Macaca fascicularis: one gene and its partner. The protein of the gene in region 2 purifies or fractionates together with the protein of the main gene of each other region. This does not show direct contact. Links are inferred from orthologs where the notes say so. Each region holds a gene or a part of one and is shown on either strand. Other genes may lie near its edges. The genes, in order: XRCC4 and PNKP.

Region 1 (3,812 bases), on a different chromosome or scaffold from region 2:
TGCTGGAAACTTGATCCAAAGGACTAAGTCATAGGTACTTCAAACTAAACTGCCATTTTTCCCCTTCTCTTTTCCTCTACTACATCTCACTTGTTGTAATCCTTTTTTCTGAAGAGTGAAAGAAGGCCTCAGCTTCCGTATAATTTAGAGCATTCTTGATTACTTTGTTCCAGTGGCCTATCGATGGCTTTAGCTAAATAAAATCTCAAATCTTAAAGGCAACCAGCTTTAAGCTGAAGATATTTAGCATAAAGGTGTATCTTCCTCATTGCTTATGCTTTTCCTGGTTATATTTAACCAGGAATAGTATACCTTGGAGTATATGTGTATGAATGCTGGCTCACATTGCTGTGCTAACGAGTTGCTGCATTTTACAAATAATATTAAGTTTTAACATTAAAAATTTGAGTCTTTAAAATAAAAATGCTAAAGAATTTTCATAGAATAAGGTTTTTCACACCATTTTTCCATTATGGTTTCTTGTCATTAGAGTAAGAAGCCCAAGTGAGATATTCAACAAAGGAGATAAATTTATATCTCTCTTACCTGAAGCCGACCCAGAGGGATCAGGTTGGTTTTCATTTTCCTCATCAGTACTCTCATCATAGACTGGATCTCGGTCAGCTGTCATTTCAGAACAGATTGTAGTTTCCCTAGAAACAGAGACAGGTAGAATTATAAATCATTGGCTCACCCCCTGCTAGGCAGCAAATTTACCAGTAAGTAATTATAGAAAATATTTCTGGAAAAAGATTCTAATTAGACAAACATATTGAAAATTTATATGACTTAGATGAAAGCATCTTAAAACCTATATATTAACTCTCTTAAGAACAAGTTTCTCTTTTACCCAATTTTAATCTGAATTTAGTACTCATTATAATTAATATTAAATCAGTTTCTTATCAGGTACTATTCTTCTATCAAAATACTTTTTTCTACCAAATTATCTCTGTGAGTCACAGGGTATTTAACATTTTACTAATCTCAGAGCAGTTCCTTATTTCATTTGATCTCTGCAAAGTCCTAAGATGGGTATCTTTACCTTTATTATGAAAAAAAAGTGATGTGTCCAAAGCTATAAACTAATAGGTATGACTGCAAGACCAGTACCTGTACTAGGACTAGCTGATATCAAATTTTTTTATACTATGTCACTAGTAATTCTGCACTTTTACTAAGATTCAAAGCAATAGACCCTAACGTGTATTTGCTAATGTGTAAAAAAGTTATAATCGTTGAAACCCATATCAGCCATTTGTCACTTACGATTCTTCCATAAAAATCAAGTACATATCTACTCTCAGAGAAAACGTTAAAGAAGAATAAGATTGGTAATCACACTGTAATCAGGTAAAATAAATGCTCCCTGGAATTTAATATTAACAACTTGATTCAAAAGTTAACTATTGCCTAGACATCAAGATTACAAATATGCATCCAACTTTGTAGTTCTGCAGATGAAAGGGTTTTTAAATTAATATTTCTTACTAATGTCTAAGAATTAAATAATACTTTAATAAGCCTCATGTCAATTTTTAAATTTAAGTGTAGGTGAGACAGTTGAGCAGACATGGAGCGAGCATGCTGAGAACTCTCTAGCCCATGGCACCCGTCTAACAGCCTGAGCATCCACATCCAGTCTACCAAATTATCTCATATGACCAAAAAGTTGGCACCTAATGTTCATTAACTTTGGGAAGAAATTCCACTTAAATTTATACATCTGTCATCCAAAAACTAGATAGCCAAAATACCCTTCTTGTTTGATGTCCTTTTCTTGTTCTTGAGCTGTATTTAATAATTTATTATGCAAACTTCTGATTTTTGTTTTCTTCTCATTCAACACCAGAATAAACCGCTTATAAAGATCAGTCTCCAAAGCTTCCTTAGCGTTCACACATTTTTCAAATCTGAAAAAGTAAGTAAACAAATTAGTCATGCAGTTCTGCTTACCATTAACATAATTCAATCTAATAATCAAGAAGATTTCAATAAAATTTTTCAAAGAAAATACAATTAAAGATTATTTTCACATATGCTTTCACTGACTTAAAAGTTTTATAAAGATGGTTAAATACACAATTAGAAATTATTGTTATTCATGTAATTCATGTACTGAGATAAGGATCAAAATTGAAAATTGATACAAATTAGCCTTTAGAAAATCAAAATGCCTAAAGATAATAATTTATTGACATCTATGGTTTATTTACAAAAGAATGTTTTTATGGGATAAATTTCAAACAAGAGTAAATGTAGCCTGTGTTTCCTCAGTACTATGTTAATATTACTATAAAAGCAACTACAATCTTGTTTTGTGATAAGGCAATACAGCTAATTTGTCTTGACTGCTCTACTAGACAATGAACTGCTCTACAACAAGAACACGACTTATCCAGTTATATTCTTATAAGCGAGCACCACACACACACACATACAAATACATATAGAAACACAATACACATATACAATGAAAGTATTCTACTTGATATATCCAAGGAGAGATTAATAAAACAGCAAATGTAAAACACTACGTATCTTCAAATGTAGATACCTGAGACAAAACATAAAATTCTCTATTGTTTATAATTCGTCCTACACTTCTCAATGAGCTAACAGGGGATTGTATTTATTTTAAGCTCCCAAGAGAGATATAAAGTAAAGAAAGCAAAATAGCTGAGGTTGTATATACTTAAAATGTGCACACGCATACATGATGAATACATTCTTATTTTAGAGATTCAAATACAAATTATTTTATGTATTCTTTTCAATGTCGTTTTATACTGCTTATTTACATTGTTGTTGTTCAATATACAAGTATCCTAGTATTTTTATGCTGTACATAAACACACACACACATATATACCAGTAGTAACATATATGTGTGTACATATACAGACACACACATATATATTTCAGTGAAATTAGAAACACAAATGTCCAAATTAGATACCTTTTATATACACACCCTTAAACTTTCAACAATCTACCTATCTAGAGATGCAAAGAATTCAAACCTCTCATAGGATAAAAAGGAAAATATGGCAATATATTCTCTGGGACCAATTTCAGCAAATTCTTATAGCATAGTCTTTGCCAAGGATGTGAACTCCAGGAAAGCAGAGAGCATGTGTGTTTTACTGGCCATGGTATCCTCAGTGCCCAGCATAGTGTTTAGCATTCTACAGAGGTTTGGTAGGTTCTTATCAGACAAACGAATAAAGTGAGGAAATTAATATGGACATCTTTTTGGTTTATTTGTTTTCCCAGGTTTACTGCTGATTTATTACAAGGCCTCAACAGTGCTTTATTTTTTCTCTTCAACATCCTATTCTGCAGCTTCCTTGGTCCTTTTTGCCCAGAGGCCAAAGAGCCAGGCATTGATATGGCAGGTTTTTGTTTTGTTTTGTGTTTTGTTTTGAGACAGAGTTTCACTCTTGTTGCCCAGGCTGGAGTGCAGTGGCACGATCTCGGCTCACTGCAACCTCCGCCTTCTGGTTTTAAGCAATTCGCCTGCCTCAGCCTCCTGAGTAGCTGGGATGACAGGCGCCCGCCACCATGCCCGGCAAATTTTTGTATTTTTAGTAGAGACAGGGTTTCACCATGTTGGTCAGACTGGTCTCGAACTCCTGAACTCGTGATCCGCCCGCCTCAGCCTCCCAAAGTTCTGGGATTACAGGCATGAGCCACTGCGCCCAGTCTGATGTGGCAGTCTTGAAGTTCTCTTCCTCTTGGTGATGACTCTGGCTTTCTCCTTCTTATAGGTATTCCATATGAACATTACTGGTCCTGTCAGTGTGATGGCC
Region 2 (4,202 bases):
TGAACAGGGGCCCCTGGGGACTTCAACTGCCCAGCAACATGGAGGATGGTGTCCTGAGGCCTCCAAGGATGGTCCCCACCCCTCTACGTTTCCCTAATAAAGCCTTTTAAAAACCTGCCTGCCCCCTCTACTCACTGCCCCATGCCTGGCAGCCCCCTAGCCATAAGGTGGCCCAGCAGGCCTGGACAGCCTGCAAACTCACTGGCTCTCGGCTGCCCACACCCTCTTCCCCAGCAATCTCCAGATCCACAGGCCCTGGGTTCAAGTTCAGGGGTCACACCTGGCCTTGAGCGAGCCCCTGGGTTGGGGCTTGTGGGCTCACCAGCTGGCTCTCAGGCAGCCAGGCAGCGCCCTGCCCTGTGCGTTCCCTGGCTAATGTCTAACATGCCCATGCCAGGTCCCAGCAAAGCTGGAATCCCTTCTGTAAGACCCCACCTTCTGTTACCGGAAAATGTCCCTAAAGCCTCCATCCATGTAAAAAACTGCCAGGCCTGGAGCCCCTCCTCCCAGCAAAATGCCGGCCAAGCTCAAGGAGAAACGACATTTATTGTGTAGGGGAGCTGGGCGGGGCTCAGCCCTCGGAGAACTGGCAGTACAGCCGCTCCAGCCTCGGCTCCAGGCACAGCCGGAACGGGATCTCCAGGATGGCAGAGAAGCCTTCGGCCAGCGTCGGGGCCTCGAACTGCTTCCTGGCAGTGGTGGGAACAGTGAGGGACAGCCTGGCTCATGTGGCCCCGCCATTGCCCCTCCCCCCTGCCGTCCCCAACAGTACCTGTAGCCATACATGACCATGTCTGATACGGGGACATGAGAGGAGTCCGTCATCTCTCGAAACTGTGGGGATATCAGAAGGGGCGAAAGGCCCAGGGGTCAGGGGAGGGAGGGGGCACCTGGGGGTGAGGAGGGGGGTCGGGGTGCATCCCCGGGGGGTGACCGGGCCTAGCGGGCTCACCCGGTTGTTGTGGCGCGCCTGCTCCAGAGTGGCGGTGAAGAGGAAGCAGCGGCAGGGAAAGCCCGCGGCTCGGGCGCACTGGACGTACCTGTGGGGGAAGGAGCTGGATGTGCAGGCCCCGCCCACCCCGCCGCAGGCCCCGCCCACCCTATCGCAGGCTCCCCGCTACCTGGCGCGGCTCGCGGAGTCCGGGTTTGTGTTGTCGATGGCGACCCGTTTCCCTTGCTTCAGGGCTGTCTCACACGCGGTCACACAGCGCTGCCAGGAGCCTAGCGTGTCCTGGGGACACGAGAGGTCACAAACGGATCCGGAGACCCGAGGGGAGAGAAGACCCAGAGCGGGGTCGGGGAGGCAGTGATGGAGGGAAGCCGCCCCAAACTAGTTGAGCGGTGGAGATGGGAACTGAATAGATTCGGGGCGGCCAAAGCCTAGTCATACCCTGTTCACATGGACGTATCCGGCCGACACGAGGTGCTTCTTGAGAAAGGTGGACTTCCCGGCTGTGTGGGGGGCAGTGTCGGTGGGTGGCCTAGGACCCCGGAGGGGCTCAGGGCACAGGGGCAGGGCACTCACCCCCAGGGAATCCCACAGCGACAACCACCTCCGGGCTGGAGCTCAGGAGGGCCCTGGACTCGGGGAGGCAGAGAGGTCCTGAGCGGGAGAGAGTCCTCTGCGAGGGGAGGGGCACACGCGTGAGACGCTGTCCCCGTCTCCGGGAGCCCTCCCGCTCCCACCCCCACCCCCACCCCCACCCCAGGGCCTCACCGGGTCAAAGGCTGGGAGCTCAAAGCCGGCTGCTGGCCACTTCAGGAAGAACTCCTCAGGCGTGGCGAAGGGCAGGCCAAGGTTGAGGGCAAACTAGGGGTTGAGAACGGACATCAGACACAGGCCCGGGTCGGGCTCGGGCGCGGGGCAGCGGGCAGGGGCCTCACCAAGCGATCTGCGCAGGAGAAGTCTTTCTTCTTCCGCCCTGGGGCCCAGTTGGCCGGGCGTCCGGCTGCGTCTGGAACACACGGGACACACTGTCCCCACCAGCTCGGAGGGAGGGGTCCCAGCCCACCCTCAGCAGCCTCCAGGCCCTTACCTCCCACAAAGATGCTGTCCCGGATGGAGATGGGCGCGCCCTCGTTGGCCTGCAGGAGATGGCAGTGAGGAGGCCCTTCCCATAACTGTCCCGCCGCAGCAGTAGCGGGTCCCTGGGGCTGCTTCGCCTGGTCTATGCCGCGCATCAGGCCTCATCCTCCAACTTTTCATGTCCCCACCATCCAGCCACTTTGCACCGTGCTCCTGGCCCTGTGGTCTCTCCACGCAGCCCCCTCCCTCCAGGCTTCCCGGCTTCCGCCTCCGCCGGTTCCCCACGCGGCCACCAGAGGGCGCCCGCTCTGCCTCAGCTCCAGCCTCCTGGGGGCCAGCGCCTCCCAGGCTCCCCCTCCCTCAGGGCAAAAGCGGGGCCCTCCCTGTGGCCCTGCCCTCTCCCCTCCCTCGCTTAGGGCCAGCCGCATGGGCCTCCCTGTCCCTAACTAGCCCAGGCTAGGGGCTGCCTCAGGGCCTTTGCACTTGCTGTCACTCCTGTGGGGGGGAACCACTTTCCCCAGGTGTCCACGTGGCTCCCTCCTTCCTCTGTCTTAGGCCTTTTCCTCGGATGTCACCTCCTCAGAGGCCATCCGTGCCCACCACAGCTGAAACGATGCCTGCTTTCTCCACCTCCCTCCCTCCCACTGTTTTACACGCCAGTCTGCCCATCCGCCCAGAGTCACGGCCCTCGCCGTGCGGGCCCCGCTGGAGCAGGCTGTCCCGCTCACCGCTATCTTCAGCTCAAGAACGTGCTAAACTTCAGAACAAATGCACACACAAACGAATGAAGGAAGGAATGAACAGCTTCCCTCTCTACTACTCTGATTTAGAAAGTTTAAGAACATTGGTCTCGTAAACCAACATCTAAGATGTGACAGCAAAAAAACAGAAGGCAGGTCCGAGGGAGGACAGGAGGAGTAAGGAAGCCCGGACCTGGCCGGAGAGCGGGGAGCCCAGGAGTAAGGGGCTGGAGCGAGGAAAAGGAGGGAAGCCGGGCAGACTGCGAGACTCACCTGCTCCTGCAGATGGTCCCACATGCCTGTCACTGGCTTCCGGTACAAGCCTGCGTGCGTGGCCACCAGCACCTGTGGATGGGAGGGGGCCACCAGCCTCAGCTCCTCCTCAAGCACCTACTGGATGCTACCCCAGCCCTCACCCAGCCAAGCAGAGCTACAGAATTTGTAGCTGATGATGGGTTCTTATCAGCATCACACCGCCTGAGGCCTCTGCCCCACTTATCCTGGAGTCTGAAGCCCTCTCTCCAGATCTGTGTGACCCCACATAGCTCCCAGCCTCCCTTCCAGCCATACCTGGAAGGGGACCCCCAGCTTCTCCACCACAGCCTCCACCTTGGCCTTGAACTCTTCGGCTGGCAGCTTCCCGCGCCCGATGCTCATCTGGTTGGTGAAGATCACCAGCTGGGGAGCAGAGAGTGTCACGAGGCGCCTGCTCACCAGGACCTTGGTCTGACCTGAGGTCGGACCGCCACCTGCACGCGCCCATGCAGACAGGCGGCTGCACATACCTTGTAGCCCTCGGCTTCCAGCTCCCGGAGCTTACGCGGAATCTCTGGGTACAAGATCCTAGGGCAGGTAGGAAGCGGGAGGGGTGACCCGGGGCCAGAGGTGGACTCCAGGCCTCACTCACTCCCTTGTTTTGCCTCTTATCACCTCCAGTCACTGGGGCCAGTGGGAAAGACCTTCCCAGAGCGTGTGGTGATGAGGGTCCCGTCCAGATCAAAGCCAGCCACCTGGTGTCACCAAGGAAAGAGGAACAGCAGCACTGTGATACCTCTGACCCTCTCCACTCATAGGCTGACTCACACCAACCCTGCCATCTCACAGATGGGGAAACCAAGTCACAGAACAGCTCCATGTCAAGCATCCGTGAAGCCTCTGAGTGCGGCCTGACATCTTAACCTTCCTGTCTCCTGTTCCTCCTCATGACCCCGGCCCCAGGATTACAGTCTTTAAAATGGGGGTTAATGTCTTACCCAGCCTCCTTCCTCCCCTGGCCTTCTCCACCTTGGTGGGCTGCTAATCGTGAAAATAAAAACAGGAGCAAAGCTTTGGGTGCTAACTGCATGTCAGGGACTATGCCACGTGCTTTTTATGGATTCAGCATCGTAGAGACGAGAGACATGGGACTCAGAATGTGGTGGTTAACAGCATTTGAA

Evidence for each region.
Region 1: the proteins of PNKP (region 2) and XRCC4 purify together in Homo sapiens (co-immunoprecipitation; 5 studies listed by BioGRID and IntAct, counting the BioPlex papers as one, with this or other methods). This does not show direct contact. The link is inferred for Macaca fascicularis from reciprocal best matches to the Homo sapiens genes PNKP and XRCC4.

Annotation. Positions count from the first base shown.
Region 1 is NC_088380.1:87,128,075-87,131,886, reverse strand, and holds part of XRCC4 (DNA repair protein XRCC4), read right to left. Parts: intron 1,914-3,812; coding exon 1,758-1,913; intron 654-1,757; coding exon 547-653; intron 1-546.
Region 2 is NC_088393.1:57,844,389-57,848,590, forward strand, and holds the end of PNKP (bifunctional polynucleotide phosphatase/kinase), read right to left. Parts: intron 4,092-4,202; exon of another isoform or gene 3,777-4,091; coding exon 3,697-3,776; intron 3,619-3,696; exon of another isoform or gene 3,610-3,618; coding exon 3,552-3,609; exon of another isoform or gene 3,445-3,551; coding exon 3,337-3,444; exon of another isoform or gene 3,112-3,336; coding exon 3,040-3,111; exon of another isoform or gene 2,574-3,039; intron 2,086-2,573; coding exon 2,037-2,085; intron 1,956-2,036; coding exon 1,885-1,955; intron 1,811-1,884; coding exon 1,718-1,810; intron 1,623-1,717; coding exon 1,526-1,622; intron 1,453-1,525; coding exon 1,391-1,452; intron 1,232-1,390; coding exon 1,122-1,231; intron 1,041-1,121; coding exon 953-1,040; intron 835-952; coding exon 773-834; exon of another isoform or gene 690-772; coding exon 572-689; 3' UTR 528-571; downstream 1-527. UniProt on the Homo sapiens protein: Plays a key role in the repair of DNA damage, functioning as part of both the non-homologous end-joining (NHEJ) and base excision repair (BER) pathways.